4 linked regions of the Bombyx mori genome follow. The protein of the gene in region 2 purifies or fractionates together with the protein of the main gene of each other region. This does not show direct contact. Links are inferred from orthologs where the notes say so. Each region holds a gene or a part of one and is shown on either strand. Other genes may lie near its edges.

Region 1 (5,091 bases), on a different chromosome or scaffold from region 2:
GCGACAGTCTAGCGGGAACCTTCATTTTTCGCTATTGCGAGCAAAAAATCTTATTAGATTAGATATTATTAGATTTTTATTATTTTTAATTTTTTTATTATGATACTAATTTATGATATATATTTTTTTTACCACATTATTAGATTTTTTGCTTCCTAATGGGGTTTCGACGAACTCTGGCTTAACAGCATTAACAGCCTTTGTAGTTCCAACAGCACGCTGCCACCCCGATCTTTTCTGGTCTTCGACAGACGAAGTTTTGTTGTATCTGTGATAGTCCAATATACGAACATACAGCTGAGACCACGCTTTTGAAGTGTCTGGAATATGACCGACGGCTCTATACTACTACTACTACTTTTAAAACTACCACTACTACTACTTTGTACAAGGCGATCACTGCAATCCTATATTTTCTTTAACTTATAGGGTGTTAAGGTCCATAATGTAATTTGATAAAAAAAAAAATTTCTATTCTAAGATTTCTTAACATTCCGACGTTTGGTGCTTCGGCGAAAGCCATTTAATCTTTGAATTTAGTTAGTTTTATATCTTTCACATCAAGCCTTTATAAAAATATTTATGTAGACACTGTAGATAGATACCTACTAAGATTTTTTGTTTTTAAAATTTAACATTCTCTTTTTTTGGGCCGAGGTCGAATTTCCTACTTGATAGCCTCCTCGTGCTGAGGAGGCACGCAAATTATTTCCCAGTCAACGCGACAGTCGCTGCAGATAGAAGGTAGTGTTTAAGGACCCACTTATTTGACTATCTTTCATTTTTCGTTCCGGACATGACATGCTAAAGCTCCCTGTCGTGCGGCCTTCTGTTGAACTCTCATAAATCGACCATCACCTTTGAAGACTCGCCCCAGCTGGGTGCTAATGCATTAAGACAACATGGTTGTCTATAGACTCCAATATCCACTAAACACTGACAAGCCTTGAATTATTCAACCCATGAAGGCCAATAAAACAAATCACTAAGTTATTATGTTTTATTATCATCATCATCATCTGAGTCTAATAATTCTGTTTTTCTAAGGCCTATTGACTGTAGTAGATTACTGGAAGGACCAGATGCAGCTTTTTCTTCTTTAATACTTTGCAAGAAATTTTGTAAAATATTTTTCTGATTGTGTAATGAGTCTATATCATCATTTCCCAGTTTAGATTTCATTTCTTCTTCTAATTCTTCCGTAATATCTCCATTTTCGGAAATACAATCTTCATCATCTAATAAATCTGACTCTTCTTGCACATCATTTTGATTCATAGTCAATAATCCCAAAAACTTCTCAATGCAAGATTGAAATTCATCTGCCTCAAATTCAATAGTATTATTATCAGTATATTCTGATTCAATCCCCTCAAAGTTTGAAGTATTATTTAGAAAATTATTAAGGTCCTTTGTTATCGACTCTGGAGTAATTTCACTTTTTACTGTAAATTTAGATTTTTGGCCATAGCGTGAATTTAATGTATTATTTAACTCATCAGGATGAATGGTCATCCAGTCATCGTTATCATCTGAGAAATCCAAATTTGTACTATTATTTTTTATATTTTCCATTTCTTGAGTGAAATTTTCTGAACTTAGTGTTTTTGCAATATTGTAAGATGCATTAGAACTTACTGAGCATTCAGTATTTAAGAAATAATCCTTAGCTTTTTCTAAAAGCTGTTGATAATCCCTAGAACCCTCTAAATTACCTTTAAAATAACCATTGTTCCTTAAAGTAGCAATAAATTTATTATATGCATTGGTTAAAAAAACCTCATTTGATGAGTTGGTTATAATTTGATAACCATAGGAAATTTTCAAACCAAGTAAAGTGCTCTTATCATTTGTGGATTTTCTTTTACTAAAATGTTTAATAGGTTTTGACTGCATCAATATTGCATACAAGAATTTAGTAAACTTCACTGGAACATCCACTAAATGTTCATAATTAATCACAGGACAGGACTTAGATTCTTCATGATTACAATAGGCATTAATAAAGTTAGCAATGTATTGAGGTTCAAGTTTCACTAAAGTAGCTACCTCTATTGGAAGTCTAACAACTGATGTATGGAAATAATCACTTAAATGTTTAGAAAACTTCTCAATTCTTAACGATATAGCATTTTCAATTTCATGTGTTGACTTAGTGTCTTTATTGATTTCCAAGTATTTTAATGCTTCTGATATTTCTAACTTCTCATCTATACTTGCCACATGTGGAGGTATTATATGTAAATTGTTGTTGTAAATGAACACCTGGAAAAATGATGTGTATATTAAGTACAAATATTTTATTTTCAAGCATTAGTGATTTTATGAATGTATGTTGTATGATTTAAAAACTTACTTTATCTGAAATTGAATTAAAATTCAGTATGAAAATCATTTTGACAAATGTATTTTTATATTATTTATATTTTAAATTAAAGCTAATGATTTCATATCTATTCCATAAGTTCATGAATGTCAATTAATGTAGATTACTCTAAACAGGCAAAACTCAATCTATTATGTATAAACTGGATACACTGGTATAAATTGGAATGGAGATCAGAAAGAATTCTAAGTGATAGCTAATGCCTTGAGACTGCCAAAAATCTCTTATTGTATAATAGCTGTCCTACCCTCATATCACACAACACTTACTCTATTTTCTGTAGTATTTGAATTTGCCCATGAAGGCAAATAATTTGCAGCTTCTATTAATAAAAATTCACCATCACTGTCTTTAATTTGTACAACTATGTTAGTGTATAGCTTTGTTATATTTTTTACAAGGTAAACTATGAACCATTCATCTTCAATATTGTCACCAAAACATGTTACATTAATTAAATGCATAGGATAGTCTGAAAAAAAAAGATAAAATAAAATAACATTTAATTGATTAATAACATTTCTAAAATTATAAAAAACGTCTTAAATTTCAACAAAGGCTTTTTCAAGTTAATGTGTATAAAACAAGTGTCTAATCAATTATGATCAGTTTGTTTGTCTCTTTGTTTCTTTGGCTTATAGGAAATTTCTCAATTAATATAATATTTTATTTTTTCAGTCGCTCTCTGCAAAAATAATGGTTTATAGGTTTTGTTTTTTTATTCTCTACAAACAGGATAGGATTAACTTATTTTTAAAATGGTGTATAAAATTTTCTTCTGATATTTTGTATGTACTACTACTTGTACTCACTGTGTAGATTTTTATTCTCATAAACTGGTAGAAAGACTTTGAAAACATCTCTATGCCAGATGTAATCTTTTGACAAAGTTAAGATTGTTTCATTGATTTGGTCACACAATGACACCCATTGTGATCTTTCAAGCAATGATAAAGAATAAAACGTGCAATATACGGTATCTTCGTGTAATGGTTCAGAAAAAACTGCATTTTTATTGAAAGACATTTCTTCAATCAAATATAAATTTCAATGTTAATTACACTGAATATGAAACTTTTAAAGGTCTATGGTTATTCGGCCTAGCATGCTATTTTTTTTAGGGATTTTATGACCTGGTAACTATAATCTTTAGGTCATGTCTAATTTTAATTTATATATATATATATTATAATTTTTTTATTGCCCTTGTAGGCAGCGAGCATACGGCCCACCTGATGGTGAGTGGTTACCGTCGCCCATGGACTTCAGTAATGCCAGGGGCAGAGCCAAGCCGCTGCCTACCGCTTATATTCTTATTTTATGAAAAAATGATAATATGGAGTGAAATTAAATGAAATGAGATGAGGTGATATGGTATGAAAAATAATCTCAGTAAAATGGTGGTCATTTACTAAGGCTTTTTCAGTGATGGAACTTTTTGGAGGATCCCGAGAAGTTACGTTCAGCGGCTTTATGTCATTTTCCCACATTTGTGCACTTTCACAGATACTAAACAGTTAATAAATCACCATTATTACACATTTAAACCCGAAGAAACACTAAATAGACAAAATAAAACAAATCATACAACTTCACTCCTCGCGTTCCAGCCAAAAAGTCCACTAGCATACTAAAAAAAACTCTGTAAATGACCACCATTTTACTGAGATTATAGTTCATCCCATATCATCTCATCTCATTTTATTTCATCCCAGTTGATTAATGTCTCAAATTAATCTTCTTTTTTTTTATTGCTTAGATGGGTGGACGAGCTCACAGCCCACCTGGTGTTAAGTGGTTTTTGGAGCCCATAGATATCTACAACGTAAATGCGCCACCCACCTCGAGATATAAGTTCTAATATCTCACTACAGTTACAACGGCTGCCCTACCCTTCAGACCGAAACGCATTACTGCTTCACGGCAGAAATATGTAAGGCGGTGGTACCTACCCGCGCGGACTCCCAAGACGTCCTACCACCAGTAAATTCATTCATTTCATTTCACTCCATATTATCATCACTACATAGTTTATAACAAAGTCGCTTTCTTTATCCCTATATCCCCATGTATGCTTAAATCTTTAAAACTATTTATTTGTAACGGATTTTGATGCGGTTTTTTTAATTAATAGAGTGATTGAAGAAGAAGGTTTATATGTATAATAACATCCATTAAATAGTGGAGAAAACAATAATAAATTACAGTTTCCGAAGCGAAGCGAGGGCAGGTCGCTAGTTTTTCATAAAAATAAGAATATAAATCAAACATGACATGACCTAAAAGTCTTACTTACCAGGTCATAAAATCCATGCATAGATTATACATTGAGTGTCACTTCCATGTTTTTATTGCATACTTTTAGTTTTGTCCCTAGTTTATTACACTTGATATTTAGGATTATGATTTCTGTCGTCTTTCGTCGCTTGTGCTTAAATACTATTTGATCTTCACGGCTGTTTGTCAATTAAACTCATGTCTTGTCTGTCGTATATCAACGATTACGGATCTGATTCAACGAATAGTGACAGTGAAACTGAACAACATCTGTACAAAAGGTCATACTACCTGCATTATTATTTGATTTTTGATTATTTTTTATCAACATATTCCTGATAATAAACTTTATTTGTTTCAGAGTGAAATTACCAGTTCCAGATCTCAGTCGTGTGCGAATAGTTTTAACTGAAGAAACACACATAGAC
Region 2 (5,272 bases):
CAGAACATATGATAAATTTCTTTTTGGAAATTTACAAACATTCAGAAAAGTTTTTAAAGTAAACAATTTTTTTTAATGTAATCAAACATTTGTTACTATGAACGATTGAACTAATAAATAATATCATAAAATTGGTTCTACATGTACACAGTACACAATTAGGATAATATCATCTACCTTGGAAAGTGTCGGTTGCACAGATCATCCAAGTTAAATGAAATATGAAAACCGTCCTTATGGCTCCTCTTCACAATGGGCCATGATGGGCGATTATAGAAACTCAAGATAGTGTAGAGGGCATAAATGTGTGTGATCGGCCATCATCGCGTATGATCGTGCGCAATCGGCGTTGTGGCGGTAGATCAAAAGAATGATGGCCCATGATTGTGTGAGCGTCCACACCATCGCCGATTAGTCAGGATGTAGTTGTCTCGAATGTGTGTCAATTGTGTCCACTTTAAAACTATGGTTGCGTGGACCTTGTTTTGGTCCGATTGATAACCACCACCCACCACCTTATCTTCTTTCATCTTGCATTGCTGAAGTCCATGGGCGACTCCGTCTGTCTACAAGAGGGATTTAAGAAAAAAAAGTTTTCACGATTCTTTTTTCGCGCACATTAACTAAATGACTATATAGACTATATAGAACTAAAAATATTGCCGCAGCCGCGATCTCCTCGATTTCCATCATCGATACCTAGACGTCTTAACATATCAGTAGACAGTCAGTAAATAAACGTTCACGATTGTGTGGAGAGTTGCCCCATCATGGCGGCGATGATGGACGATTGTTTGTTGGCCTATCATGGCCGATTGTGAAGAGGAGCCATTAAATATAATCTATTGAGTTCCATCGTCGAGTTTCACTACGACCGGCCTCTCGTCTTCATCGTCAGCGTCTAGACCAGTGAAATCCCATTGCAATTTGTCGGTCAGGTTATCTTTGAAGCGTTCAATCATCGTCAAAAGTCTGCCGTCGACTTTGCTTACGTAAGCCGTGCGGAAAAACTCACGGAGTTTCTTGTATACTAAATTTTTATTCATCACTATATCGGCTAAGAAATCTTCGGGCATCTCTTCGATTTGCACCTCAATAGTCCTAATGAAGTGAAAGAAAACACTTCTGTATTTGTGTATGGCCTCGTCACACGAACATATGAGTATGACGAGGCTCTTCCAGTGCTCAAAAGCCTCTAGGGAGTGCCCAATCAAAAAGCACAAATATGCGAATTGCAGTTCTCCTATGATGTGTAGAGGTCTGAAAAATAAAACACGTATATAGAATTCTAGATTTTGGCTTTTGTGCATTTAATCATGTCAAGAGTCGAGACTTGACTTTAGCTTCCTGATAACTTCGGCACTGAACAATGCTTAAAATATCCATCATAGACATTCAACTGTATATGTAATCAACATATGAATGTAGTATGTAGTCAACAAAATTTTATATTAAGATACCCTCAAATTTCTCTTAAAATACTAACAGTTAATAAAAATAGATACTTACTCATTATGCTGTGCTATCATGAGCTCTAATGAGTATGACTGATCTAAGTAATGTTTCGTGATCTCCTCTGGTGTTGCATCCGGTGGATATTTATCTTGAGGTATTTCTGTGAATCTCATAGCAGCTCCTGTAAAGATTCACATTTTAGAATTCTTTTATTTTTTTTTATATTTTTTATTGCTTACATGGGTGGACAGACGACAGGCTCACGGCCCACATGGTGTTAAGTGGTTACTGGAGCACATAGGCATATACAACATAAATGCCGCCACCCACCTTGAGATATAAGTTCTAAGGTATAGTCAAACCGAAACACATTACTGCTTCACGGCAGAAATATGCAGGCTGGTGATAACCTATCCATGCAGCCTCACAGGTCCTACAATCAGTAATTAATTAGGCGTGTAGTTTTATTTTAGTAGATATATAGGGGAAAAATATTATTTACATTTATCTTTGTTTCATTAATTTACCTGGAACTGGTTTCAAATCTGGTAACAATGACTTTTCTTTCTCTTCCCTTGTGATTCTTTTAGCTCTCTTAGCACTTGAGTGTCCGGCAATCTGTTCTTCACTGAAATCCTCTTTAGTGGGAGATTTTTCATTCTCCTGACTTATTGAACTAGATGAAGACTTGACTCCTCTTGGTCTTTCTGCATCAGTCATCGATAAAAGCTCAACTGATGCTCTTATCATTCCACTTTCTGGTGCCAATTTTGCTGCTAGTTCAGCTGACAATAGAAATTAAACTTAGTACAGATTATTGATATAAGATTCTGGAATAACACAATATTTTAGTTTCTTGTATGAATTGTTTTTTCTGATACAAGCCTAAGTTTACGGGGCTCAAACCAGGAGTGTTGCTAACACTGCCTCTAGCAATAGCAGTGCTTCGCAGAATCTACCACCGTATCGGAAACGCAACCCCCTGAGAAGATCCGGTGAGAAACTCAGTAGACTGTGTCTATGGGTTAATTTTACTCATTAAGCCCTTCATCACAAGCGACGGGTTCGGCGAGGACAGTGACCAGTCTCAATATGCTCCACTATGCCAATATGACCAGGCTCATAATGTGAACTACCACCAACTTCAACAAGACTAAGTTCATTCAAGATTTGTAGGGCAAGTATTTCTTTAATTGAAGACACCAACCAGTGATCTGTGAAGACAGTAACTTCCACTTCTGCCATATTTCATATGGATATGGAGCAAGATGTCGGTCCAAATTAAATAAATTATCTTTCAAACGTTGGATGCTCTCATCACTGATCTCTTCCTTGCTCAAATCTTCAGTTTTTTTGTCCCACATTTTCACAAGAAATTCTTTTTTGTGAAAGTAATGCATGAAGCCAGATCTGGAATTTAATCAAGAAAAGTAATTTATTTAGGTATGCAAGTAACAATAATATTGATATCAGTCTCATATAAGTTCAATAACAATACACGAAGAAACTTAATAAGCTGTATACATATATTTTGTGCTTCGAATATGTAAATTCTGAGTGTAAATCTGATATCGAATTACCATATTAAAATTAAGTGATAAGATTCCAAAAACAACCTCCAAACTTGAATTCCTTGTATAGTACTAGGATTGTTTTTTTAAAGTATATATAAAACGCACTTACCTAGGTGCAATATCGCCAGTACCTTTACTGACAGCAGAGTAATGAACATAATGTAAGCCTGGAGGAATCATTTTAACGCCACGAAAATCTTCCTCCGTGTTCCAGCACTGCATATCGATGCCAAACTGGGTTTCTGAAGGGACTCTCAAGAATACAAACGTGCCCCCTTCCACTAGCAGCTTTTTCGCTGTTTCTTGATCCATATCCAACTATGCTCCCGAAACAATGAAATATGAATTAATGGTATGATAAAAATACATACAATCAATCAATCAATGTGTTTACATTCGTGAGTGTCAAACGTCAATGTCAAAATCTCGACGCGTGCCGATTTGAATGTTTCTGAACGTGAAAGGTAGGTACAATGCAGACTGAAGTGAATAGATTTTTTAATAATTTTCTTAGGTTTGAAATAATGTTTTTGTTCTCAACTATGTAAAACAATGTTTTAAACATTAAAAGCACCATAACCCAATACGATTGTATTTAACAGTAACTAAGTGTCTGTCTGTTATCGAACTAACCCCTGTATAATATATATTGTGTGCGTCTTATTTGTTTTAGGTAAATCAACAGAGATCCTGTCATCAAATATTCTTAGCTACTCACTTAATTCTTAGTGAATATCTGTGACCTTGCTCGTTCACGAAGCCCGCTATAGAAAGCAGAGTATTAAATACACTTGACATTGGCGAAATCTAAAAGGAAACGCCATAAGCCTAAGAGATAGATAGATAGATAGATAACTAAGTGATGTGTCCTTCACTTGTTCTATTTGTTTATTTTTTCAGCATGGCTACCTACGACTATCTTTATAACTCAATTCATTTGAAAAACTAAGTTTATAAATATATCATGTTTAATTTTCGGCATATTATTATTAAGTTAATTAATTTGTTATTTTAAATCTGTCTGCTATCTTAGGATTTGTTTTTCTACATGAGCACAGAATCACGCTTTTTATAAAGTAATTTCTCTAAAACATAAGACAGGAGGGTAGGTACATTAATTTATATTTCTGTAACGCTTAACGGAGCTACTCATAATAGAACAGAGAATAAGTCAGCAGAGCGTATATGAAAAACTTCGACGAAACTCAAATTTGATGAAATATATTGATCGTACGGACTTCTGAGACTCCCACCTCACCACTCGAATCTTAAAACGGAAGCGCATCTCAAAGCGTGCCCGCGTCGGGAGAACACGCGGTGAGATCTAATCGTGGTGCTGGGGAGGGACATCTCCTTGCGACTGTCGTTGATCTTATGTTAAAGGACAAGAGTTCGTGCGAGGCTTTGCGAACTGATTCTGGTGTTCCATGAGGCTGAGGAGTGCGAAAGGGAGTGGGATCTCTCTTCAGGTCCTCAGCGAAGAAGGCGGAGTGGGCGGCGCGGGCGCGAAGCTTCCGTTCATCTCCCGTAGGGGCCGTCAGGTACAGAGTCCAACACAACCCGTTCTGTTCCCCCCTCAATATTAAGAAACCAGGTCAACGGGATGAGCACGATAGGTGATAGATAATCTAGATTAAGGCGAAGACCCAATTAGAACCCTGTAATCAATGCGAATGCTTTCGAACATAGTATATAAGTATACTGGTATGTTTAATCTTGTTATGATAATTAAGATTTTAAAATTATATTCATAGTTAATCCCTTTAGTAGTAATAATATATGACAAGGCACTATATTTTACAGGAATTCAGTGATTAAAACTCAGAGGAAAGACCATAATGCAAAACCTTATGGTATTTTTTATTCCATCATCTTAATTTTTTATAAAAAAGTCTGGTGTGGTTCGGATCGGACGATGTTCAAGTTAACTGAGAAATAAGAAATTTGTTTTGTCTTATGCAGAATTTGAGATAAGAACACATCCGAGAAAAGTTTAATTATATACTGAATTTTATAAGACAAAAAAAAATATGTATTGTTATTACCTATTACATTTCTGTTACGTCTCTAATATAGTTTGACTTAATCAAGTAGGTATATTTTTTCACATACGTACATAGTCTCGTCCTTTAAAGTAATGGAATAAAAAAAAAGATCCATTTTTCGGTCGCCAAAACAAATTCCGACCGAATTACGTCTAGATTTTTCGAATTTTTCAGCGTGAAGTGGGCAACACAGCAGTG
Region 3 (5,237 bases), on a different chromosome or scaffold from region 2:
TTTTTTAGAAAATATTTTCAATTTGAAAATAATGTCAAAATATTGGAAAGTATTGTGTTAAATACTTGTCATCCTATTAGACATAATGTACATTCTTATTTTGATTCTTTGTCGAGTTGATACGGTGCATTTCTAACTCATGACGTCTTTGTAATCTCTGAAGAATTATGTATCTAACTAATGTTTTCAAATAAACGCTTATTTTTCTAAGCTAAAGATTGACTTATGTCACTTGATTAAGGTGGAAAATAATGCTGCTTGCCCCAAAACAAAAGAAAGGAAGTATCAATAGTATAACAGCATTAATAGCAGCAGTACATAAATCATAATCAATGCAACAACATTGTACAGTAAAATAGGACACAGACATTTTTTGCATCTACATTTACACTACCCAGCGTCCTTATTCTGTTATGAGGTAGTCTTGGGTGCTGTTTAAGTTCATCGAATTTAAAAATCTACTATTTCAACATTTAATATTATAGTCTTTATAATTCCTGTATTATCTTATATGTGTATGGATATAAATAAATATGTATGCAAATTACTAACACAGTCAGCAAACACAATGTTTGCTCCAAACTAGGCAACTGAGTTTGTGTGATCTTCTCCAAGTATTGAATCTTATCAAGTCTGACATCATCTTGGAGTTCAATATCAGTTGGTAAGTCTGCAGTACCATGACTCTCTTCAGCTGAGGGACGTTCAACAGTAGAATCCAGATCACTAGTTAATGCCAATTGAGGTAATGCATTCTGTTGATATTTTGTTCTTTTGCCGAGTATCCCTAAATTAGATATGAACAATCCGATTAGTTGACAGTGTGATAATCAATGCACATTGCGTAGATAGGCTAATATAGGCCATCACAATAAAGGAAGGCCTGTGCTTTTATTAGATAATTATTGATCAGGGGATAAGTATGCTCTATGCAGCTGAATGACATGTTATGTTGTCCATCCTTGATTGTTGTGTGTCAACCTGTATTGTTGCATATCTTTTACCTCTATTATTGGGTGACTGAGTGCCGGTAGTTAGCCTTTTATTCCCACAACGGGTATTATTTATTATTACAATTAATGCTTGTGGTATTAAAAACATCTGTTATAATTAGAGGTATTCTAATACTATTGGAACTTAATTCTTATCTAACATCAATCAGGCCAGACAGCCAGAGTAGATCTCTACTAATTGTTAAGACAAATGAAGTGATCATGGCCAAAAAAATAAGATGCTTGGTGTACTTGCACTGTGCAATGGGACTACATTACTGTTTTAGTCCTGCAGGCAAGTATTAATTTCTCTACTGAAATAATACATGTTCAATGATGACTTCCATATTAAAGAATAATAATGTGTAAAAAAATAATTAACAATAATTAGTTATGCAATTATATTGAAATAAAAAAAAAAATGTATATGTATACCCGTCAATTCTAGCTTCAACCCAGCAATCTCTCTTGCTTTAAGTAAATACTCCTCTACTTTTTGAATCCTTCCATAGATGAGGTATGCTTGTGCTATTTCTAAACATAATAATAACTTAATTCGAGGTTTATCTTGCAATTGTTGCATTTTATTTGAAAGCTTAGCTATTATGAGTTCAAGTTCAGCAAACAGTGTAGCACTTGTATCTTCTAATGCTCTTTGGTGAGCTACTTTACTTCGGAAGTTCCACCATAGATTTAACTGTGGATATTTAATTAAAATTAATTGTGTTTAAGTTTCATATTATCAGGTCTGTTGTATAAGAAATTCTAATAGCATAAATTTGCTGCTATATATGTAATATAGCATATATATGTAACTGCGTTTAACATGTTGAACAACATGCAGCCCACCATTGGGCCTAGCATACTATACCATTCGAGTCAAACCAAAATCAGAGAAACAGTTTTATCAACTAGAGATTTTCTTTCTAAAATTTATAAAATCCACAGAAGTTAAAAATTAGCAACTTTTACCGTCTAGTTTATAAGATACTTCGAAAAGTTATAAATCATGATAAAACCTACAACTTTTGATTGGATTTGAAAATGAATGAATTTTTGTTGAAAGGCTCACATGGCTCACAGGTGACACTTATGGCCTGAACATCTCAGTAAGAAAAGGCTCACTGGTAAGCACCACGGCCTGAATGAAAATACTCAATTTTTTATGTGGCATTCAACTTGCTAAGTGATACTTTTACTGATATAATACTATACTATTTGAAAACTATGTGTATTATTTTTGGTGTTTGTTATCATTATAACGTATGACAATGACAGTAAAACATTAGTTAAAAATTCAATAATATATTAGGTGTTATATCGGCAAGGGTATACTTACATAAGTTGGCTCAATACCTGATAGAGTACTAAATATTTGATCTGAAAAATACAATAACTCTGCATGCCTGATATTTGTTTGCAACGGTTCTGAATCTCTTTGCATTTTTTCATTAATATTAATATCACTTGGCCATTTATTCTTAAAAAATTCATTTATATCAAAATTTTCGGGATGCGGATTCCAGTTGTAGTCACAATATCTTAGTAGAGAAATTATAGCCATTTCCAGCATATTACTTGAATAATTTTCATAATCACTTTGTGTTTTTAGAAGAGTTTTTAGTTCATCTGTTTCTAACCTTCTGGTAAATAACTCTTTACATAAGTTTACATCTTCTATACACCATTCATTACACCATAGCTTCTTGATTTTATCATCAACTGCAACATGTATATAAATGTTTATAATTCAAATATAAAAATAAATAAATTAAATGTTATTAACAAACATTTCCTCACTGATTGTATCAGGATTATCATCAAAGTTGCAGAGATATAATAGTTCATGTGACATTTTTAGGAAGTCAATTGAATAAAAGAATATCTTTAAATTATCTAAAGAACTGATCACGAAGTTACAAGTTAAAAATTACTCTATCTCGAGTTTTTTTGTTTACAAGGATGTTTCATAAATCTTCAAATTTGTGTTTTATAACCTCAAATTACAAGCATAGATAACATTCATTTACAATTCTTAAATGTTTTTTGCGATTTGTTCGCGACCACCTCGACTTTTAGCCAACTTGTTTTACAGACGTAATCATTAATCTCCTCAATAAATAATGGTATTATTCCTGTAATTGGCTTTGTAGGTGAATCTGGGAAGTTATTTTATAACTATATGTTCAGATATTTCATAAAATTTCTTCACACTTGTGGAATTTCGAATACTAAAAGTTTTATAATATTATTATATAATAATTCACAAGAAATCACTATTCAGGTATTTGTCAAAAACACCATTCCATTGTCTTCTGTCAATCATATAATTTAATAAAAACATGCTTTATATATAATCGTAAGTGAAAAGCACAAGCTGGCCGGGTTACATATTTTGGCCAACGAAACCTAATATACGTTAAATACTACCGCCCTCGTGCTGATCTAAGGCGAGTGATAAATGAAAGGTGTTCACACCCAGGATGTGAACCGAAATGTCAAAGATTCAGCTTTTCTTTCAAGCTATGGTCTAAGTGGAATGAGGATGTCACATAGGTTTATGCTGAGCCAGTTTGCATGCTTGAAAATTGCGTGGTACATGCTTGATAAATAAATTCCTGTTTTAATCAACAACATGATATTCGCTACTGCAAACCAGTGAAATAATATTAAAAAAACAAAAATGTATATAATAAAACCGCACGCATATGTAAGCATAAATTTGTAGTCTGTGAAGCTGTTTTTCGATTACATTAAAACCTGTAAATTACTACTATAAATTATAACAATGTTGAAAATAATTTTAAAATTAAAACAATCAACATAGGCTAAAAAGATGATACTCTAATGGCCATCGAAATCTTTGAAAGAAAAAGTGAATTTAATCCTTGACTTAAAGGTCTTAGTTACCAGGTCATAAAATCCCTTAAAAAAAGCGAATTTAATCAAAAGGAAAATGGCTGACAATGTCATTTTAGGTTAGGATAAGCAACATGATTTTTTAGTTAATGAAACAAGTGTCGTATATATTAAAATATGCATGAAATGGAATCAATACTAATCTTTATAACATCTGCTATGTGCATAACCTTAATATTTAAATTGATATATAATTTGCGGTAAGAATAAGACAGCGATATAAAAAGCTTTCCCGCCGATATCTTTACATTATTCTAAAATTAATATTTTGCATTTACAGGTTGTTATTGTCGTGGCGTGTTAATTGCTGGTTCTGCAACTCAAATTTCTGGGTAAAATTTATAGAACGCAACAGCTGGACTTGTCCAAAGTGTGAACAATATAACGGCTTCACTGAGGTATGGTTAATTTACCTACTCAGTTATAGTAATAGTAAAAAGTTTCTGATATATCGAAACAAAAATATCGCTATTGAATTATCGCCTTATTTTCTTTTAAAAATTTATTGTGACTTAAATCTTAAACCTGTAAAGTATTTTTATGAAATTTGGCTATTTTCCAAATAATATTTTTAGTTCTAAAATATCGTCTTTAAAAAGATACATACAATATAAAAAAGGCGATAACTGTTCATAGGCCCTATTGAGTCTTGGCCTCTAAAACTACCACTGATCTTAATATAATTATAGTGAAAAATGTTAGATTAAATTGTAAATGTAGTTTTCATGATATCACTCTTCACTGTTACCAAGCTAATGTAATTGACTTAGCATTTGTGCAAGGTGACCTCACGAGCTATAAAATATTAAATTTCAGGATGGGGATTACAATAAGCCTATAGTCAATAATGTTGAAGAAACTCCAAAAACCCCAAAGGTATTTCAAAGGACACTACCTAACAATGGCTTGTGCAAAATGTGTAACATAAACCAGCAGTTAAAGGTGACACAACTTGCCAATTTTGTACCAATGAATGAGAAGAAATATGATGAAGAAATTGAGAATTACAGGTTAGGAACATAGTGACAGTCACATTTAACTTACACTACTTCATTACTGGTGGTAGGACCTCTTGTGAGTCCACGCGGGTGGGTACCACCACCCTGCCTATTTCTGCCGTGAAGCAGTAATGCGTTTCGGTTTGAAGGGTGGGGCAGCCGTTGTAACTAAACTTGAGACTTTAGAACTTATATCTCAAGGTGGGTGGCGCATTTACGTTGTGGATGTCTATGGGCTCCAGTAACCACTTAACATCAGGTGGGCTGTGAGCTAGTCTACCCATCTAGGCAATAAATAAAAAAATACTAGATCCATTTTCTTCCATTA
Region 4 (5,341 bases), on a different chromosome or scaffold from region 2:
CAAGAATGGTATGAATCTCATGTCTGATGAATAGAGGCTAATGCTCTGTACATCACAAAAGAGAATCAGGTAATATGAAGTCAAACCCTCACTCCGCTGCAAGTTTTTACATTAATCACATATTTTTAATACAATTTTCGTTTCCTTATAGTTAATTCCCCTCAACCATTTTAACACCTTCTAAACTGTTTTTTAAACTTCTCATAATGATAATCATCAGTTGCTCTTTCCCCTTTAGCTTTCTTAACTATTTTATCAACGTTCTCATCAATCACGCTAATTTCTGTTTTGGGCACTACAACTTTTTCAATTTTTCGTTTTTTATCATTCTCCATGTTAAATCTGTTATGCTGAACGAAGTTAACGGCCATATTTGTTGGAACAAATTGAGATGGGCCATCTTTTTTGTTTTGTCTTTCCCATATTAATTTCATCTTGGCCTCTTCAGTTGCCTCAATGTTTTTTATTTTCGCGTCAATGCCTAAATCTACTTCTGGTATACCACTGAGCATCTGATTAGAAAGCATTTCTTCTGACCTCTGATTTGAAGAGACTCTCAAATGGTCTGGCAAGGAAAGTAAGGCTGCTTCCTCGGGAGACAAATACTTTAGTGTTTCTGTATGGTTGTGGTCTTTATTGTCTTTGTCACATCCCTCTGGAATTTACAAAGCACAAGTTAATTTTATATTAGTATCTAAACGATTATAAATAATACTATCAGCTATGTAGGGACCTAAATTTTTATTTTTTATTGCTTCGATGGGTGGACATGCTCACAGCCCACCTGGTGTTAAGTGGTTACTGGAGCCCATAGACATCCACAACATAAATGCGCCACCCAACTTGAGATATAAGTTCTAAGGTCTCAAGTATAGTTACAACAGCTGCCTCACCCTTCAAACCGAAACGCATTACTGCTTCACGGCAGAAATAGGCAGAGTGGTGGTACCTACCTGCGCGGACTCACAAGAGGTCCTACCACCAATAACAAACTATACAATCTATTTACCATTTCAAGTTTCCAATCAACATATCTTTGTGCATTTATTTACTGAGTAACCCAAGTTATGTGCATGTAACACACATTTTTTTTCATGGGTATGCTTCCAACTAATTATTTTGATGTGATATAAATATAAAGTATCAATAAGCTTTTTTTTTTTTTTTTTTATTGCTTTTATGGGTGGACGAGCTCACAGCCCACCTGGTGTTAAGTGGTTACTGGAGCCCATAGACATCTACAACGTAAATGCGCCACCCACCATGAGATATAAGTTCTAAGGTCTCAGTATAGTTACAACGGCTACCCCACCCTTCGAACCGAAACGCATTACTGCTTCACGGCGGAAATAGGCGGGGTGGTGGTACCTACCCGTGCGGACTCCCAAGAGGTCCTACCACCAGTGATTACGCAAATTATAATTTTGCGGGTTTGATTTTTATTACACGATGTTATTCCTTCACCGTGGAAGTCAATCGTGAACATTTCTTGAGTACGTATTTCATTAGAAAAATTGGTACCCGCCTGCGGGATTCGAACACCGGTGCATCGCTACACACGAATGCACCGGACGTCTTATCCTTTAGGCCACGACGACTTCAAAAGAAATTATTAATATCTGCAGTCAATAAAAACAGTATCACAGAGGTTAGCCCTCTTCACACTTATGCATAAAACCTGCTCCAAATATTGCACCCAAAGATACAAAACAACTAACTTATACTATCTTAATATCATACAACCTGTAAAAACAATAATTTTCATTTAAGCATACATGATATTTCTAAGAGGCATGTATGTCTAAACGTTGTTTAAGTTGGGATGTGGGTGTCTCTGTAGGGTATGTGCAATTCAATTGAGTGTATAATATACTTACTACAGTATTTACAATACAATATTTTTTACAGATTCGGACCAAATATAGAATCTTAGTGAGTGGTATTTTACATAATTGATACTAGATTTTCATTTAAGCAGCAATATTAACAAGTTTATTAAGTCTGTTTTTTTCTTCTTTTTTTTTTCTTCTTCCTATATAAACCATTCAAGATGCAATGAAACTTGGTATAGTTGTTATTGGTACTTTTGGGAGTGTTGTTATCATAATACCATGAGAATAGTTTAGCAAATAAGTGCTTATGCAGCTTAATGTAATATATGCTTAGGTGTTAGTAATATTAGTAATATCAAAATATACATATAATCCCATCTAGACACTGGTCACAACCACTACCTACAAAAAAAAAACAAATTTACATGAGTTCTAGGAAAACATGTAGATACTGTTTATTTAATGATCTTGTAATGGATCTATAAAATTAGTAATTGATTATGATGTGACAGAACCTCAAGGATGTGATATGGAAAATGCAAATACTATTTTATTGATTGATTTTAAATTTCAGTCTTGAAATAAAAAACCATTAAATTACAGTGGACCCCCTGTAATCCGACAAACGTTTTGTAAGGCAGTGTCAAACTACCTATTACATTTGTCGAATTATACAAGTACTGCCTAAGACCCCCTTTAGTCCAGATTTTTTTACAAAAGAGTACTTTATAATCCAATAAATTACAGATCCAGTAATAAGATTCTGTATGTTATATTCTGAAATGCAAATCATACTTCATTATGTATATTGAATTTAGTAAATTAAAAAATACAAGAGAAACCTTACGTTTTATTATAAAATTAACGTCAGTAATACTTTAAAACTTACAAAAAATACTTTACGAATGCCATGACGACTTTTGAAACTTTCTAGCCACCCCTTGCTGGCCATAAGCATCTTTTATTTTATTTAAGTACTTTAAAAAACTTAAGCTTTCATGGTCAAGATGGAGCCTGAAATGGGCGCATGCCTATTTGTTATCAGTAGTCGAATTCAAACTAACCTATCAAAACCAAAACAATACCTAAGCGTCTAGTACAATAGTGATGGCGCATACCAGTTGTAACCTGTTCAATCATGCATTATCTAAGTACATTAGCGAAGACTGTCAAAAAATATTCAATAATAATAGACATTTCGGATTACAAGGGGTGCCAGATTAGACAGCGGCAGGATTACCGGGGGTCCACTGTTTAAGCAAAATGTAAATTTTTATGTTTGGAAGCTCGTTAAATATTTTCAAGTAGAACTAACCTTTTCTTTTTGCAAGTTGTTCTTCGATGTACTTCATCATCTCCTCATCTTCGTCGCGTTTGTTCGTTTCCGCTGAAAATTGTGTGCCTATTCCGGTATCATACGCATCATCCACCTGCTTCAGTTTCCCGTTCTTAAGGGCTTGCATGTTAATCATCCCGCCAGTTTTAACTTTAAAAGGATCTTTACAAGTCATTTCATCTTCCAACGTTACTTTCTCGCCGGTTGCCAGGGCTATGATGCTCACCCCATTAGGTCTTTCTCGAAGTTTCTGAATTTCTTTTGTTTCTTGAAGTCTTTGCAAAATGTGCTCCTCATCATCAGAGTCTTCATCTTTGATACGCGTACGAAGATTTCTAGGCTTCTTAGATTTCAATTTAATTTCTTCGACTTGTCGATTTTCTTGAGAATCTGAATCTGCCATATTCATTATTTATGTTTGATCTTTTTACCATAGATAACTTATTTCCCTTTTTTAAAGAATGACTGCTTGCAATGTCATTGTTGCCAGTGTTGAGTTAATAAAAATCTCTAGATAAAATATACTTAAAATAAATTTTACTCTTTGAGAATAATGATTTGGAGAAGAATGAGATGAAATTTATTTATTTTATACTGTAATTATGATGAAATTAAATTAAATAAGATGCTTTAAAATATACTGTAGTCTCAGTAAAATTACAAAAATTTACTTAGATACATTCATTATATGAAAGGAAAAATTACATTTATTTATTGCATAGACGTCTGAACGAGCTCAAGGCCCAACTTCAATAAAGTGATTACCAGAGCTAGTACACATCTACAACGAGAGGTCACCTACCGCTAATTGTAGAATATAACAATTCGTTCATTTAACAAACCAGAACGTAGAACTACTTGGCGACCTAAATACTGAGATAGTGCCTATGAGGGCTCACATTAGGTAGTTATTTCATCCACTGCCAAGCTGTCATGCGTTCCAGTTTGAAGAGTAAGATGACCATTATACAACATAATTTAGATTTCTACCTCATGTCTCAAGGTATATCTCATAGCTTTCTCACTCTGATCTCTATTAGCTTTGATATCACTCAATACAAGGTACGCCATAAACTACTTTAAAGACCAATCAACAGTAATATACGTAGGATGTAATGAAACCCAAGGGAGTTGCTGGTCTCCAACCGTGCGCCTCCGTGAGAGGCGGATAATGGCAGCTTTTGGTCATCATTCCCAGAGATATGATCGCACCGATGCGGACCAAAACCAGCACGAAGTCGAGTAGGAGGGCCGTGCTCTCAATGCTCTTCATTTGATGAAGAGTGCTCCACTTAGAGAGTGAGCCTCCCGATGGCACCGATGGTTTGCCGGCGTACCGTGTGCAGTGGTACTCTGTGTTACTTGTGTTAGTAGTGAGCCGGTGCTACTTTTGCATCTTCCTGTCGCTAGTTGTTATGTTCCCGACTTCAACTACATAGTAACGCCCTCCAAAGGGAGGTACCGGTTTGCCAGCGTGGCTTCGAGATTGCTCGTTAGAGTATCGGGCCGTGATCAGCCGTGCTGCTCTTTGTACTCGGCGGGTTGCCGGCCAACCCGTAATCTTCACCGAATGGAGACGGTTGCTGTTGTCGCAAGTTACGAGGCCGCAAGTACGTAAGCCTCCGGGTGTCCTTGGGGTTTTTAATACGGTACTTCCTTACCCCGCCCGGGTTTTGACCTCGGGGGCTACGGACGCCTGAGCAAGTGCGGGGGAGTTGTTTAGTGGGTAGGGTCTCAAATGCCATTCTTGGGCCGCCGTGCCACCACCATCGTCTGCGGATCGTCCGATCCTACATACCCGAACAGCCTTTCGCGATTTCTACTACGCGAGCAGCGATTTCTACTTCGAATCAGTTGTTTGTTCCAATGATGATTATGGTTGGTTTTCAGGTCTATTTATAGTCATAGTTGTATTCAAACTTTACAAAATATCATTTTATGTTTACCATTAAAACTTTGATTTTTCCCTAGTAAATTTGATTTATTTTTAAGCTGGCAACTGAAAACACCCAACATAGGCAAACATTATATCTTATCATTCTTTTATCAATCAACTATATAGTGATAAGAAACAATAACACGAAAATCATACAGATATTATTTTCTTCGAACACGAACGAAATTCCGATTTGAATATTTCAATACAACTTTCAATCAAGTGCAGCTGTGTCGC

What was found.
Region 1: the proteins of protein AAR2 homolog (region 2) and protein ecdysoneless purify together in Homo sapiens (affinity purification with mass spectrometry; 3 studies listed by BioGRID and IntAct, counting the BioPlex papers as one, with this or other methods). This does not show direct contact. The link is inferred for Bombyx mori from reciprocal best matches to the Homo sapiens genes AAR2 and ECD.
Region 3: the proteins of protein AAR2 homolog (region 2) and tetratricopeptide repeat protein 27 purify together in Homo sapiens (affinity purification with mass spectrometry; 3 studies listed by BioGRID and IntAct, with this or other methods). This does not show direct contact. The link is inferred for Bombyx mori from reciprocal best matches to the Homo sapiens genes AAR2 and TTC27.
Region 4: the proteins of protein AAR2 homolog (region 2) and uncharacterized protein LOC778507 purify together in Homo sapiens (affinity purification with mass spectrometry; 3 studies listed by BioGRID and IntAct, with this or other methods). This does not show direct contact. The link is inferred for Bombyx mori from reciprocal best matches to the Homo sapiens genes AAR2 and C9orf78.

The regions. Positions count from the first base shown.
Region 1 is NC_085117.1:12,227,870-12,232,960, reverse strand, and holds protein ecdysoneless, read right to left. Parts: upstream 3,512-5,091; 5' UTR 3,413-3,511; coding exon 3,199-3,412; intron 2,859-3,198; coding exon 2,656-2,858; intron 2,266-2,655; coding exon 994-2,265; 3' UTR 987-993; downstream 1-986. Other genes in the region: U6 snRNA phosphodiesterase 1, read left to right, coding at 4,862-4,944, 5,025-5,091. UniProt on the Homo sapiens protein: Regulator of p53/TP53 stability and function. Inhibits MDM2-mediated degradation of p53/TP53 possibly by cooperating in part with TXNIP. May be involved transcriptional regulation. In vitro has intrinsic transactivation activity enhanced by EP300.
Region 2 is NC_085115.1:3,918,833-3,924,104, forward strand, and holds the start of protein AAR2 homolog, read right to left. Parts: upstream 3,445-5,272; 5' UTR 3,342-3,444; coding exon 3,139-3,341; intron 2,866-3,138; coding exon 2,663-2,865; intron 2,241-2,662; coding exon 1,983-2,240; intron 1,637-1,982; coding exon 1,510-1,636; intron 1,261-1,509; coding exon 843-1,260; 3' UTR 1-842. UniProt on the Homo sapiens protein: Component of the U5 snRNP complex that is required for spliceosome assembly and for pre-mRNA splicing.
Region 3 is NC_085116.1:3,139,196-3,144,432, reverse strand, and holds the start of tetratricopeptide repeat protein 27, read right to left. Parts: upstream 3,463-5,237; 5' UTR 2,848-3,462; coding exon 2,793-2,847; intron 2,715-2,792; coding exon 2,332-2,714; intron 1,690-2,331; coding exon 1,428-1,689; intron 788-1,427; coding exon 553-787; intron 1-552. Other genes in the region: transmembrane protein 201 homolog, read left to right, coding at 4,029-4,111, 4,192-4,309, 4,728-4,921.
Region 4 is NC_085120.1:2,479,223-2,484,563, forward strand, and holds uncharacterized protein LOC778507, read right to left. Parts: upstream 3,344-5,341; coding exon 3,148-3,343; intron 656-3,147; coding exon 171-655; downstream 1-170. UniProt on the Homo sapiens protein: Plays a role in pre-mRNA splicing by promoting usage of the upstream 3'-splice site at alternative NAGNAG splice sites; these are sites featuring alternative acceptor motifs separated by only a few nucleotides. May also modulate exon inclusion events.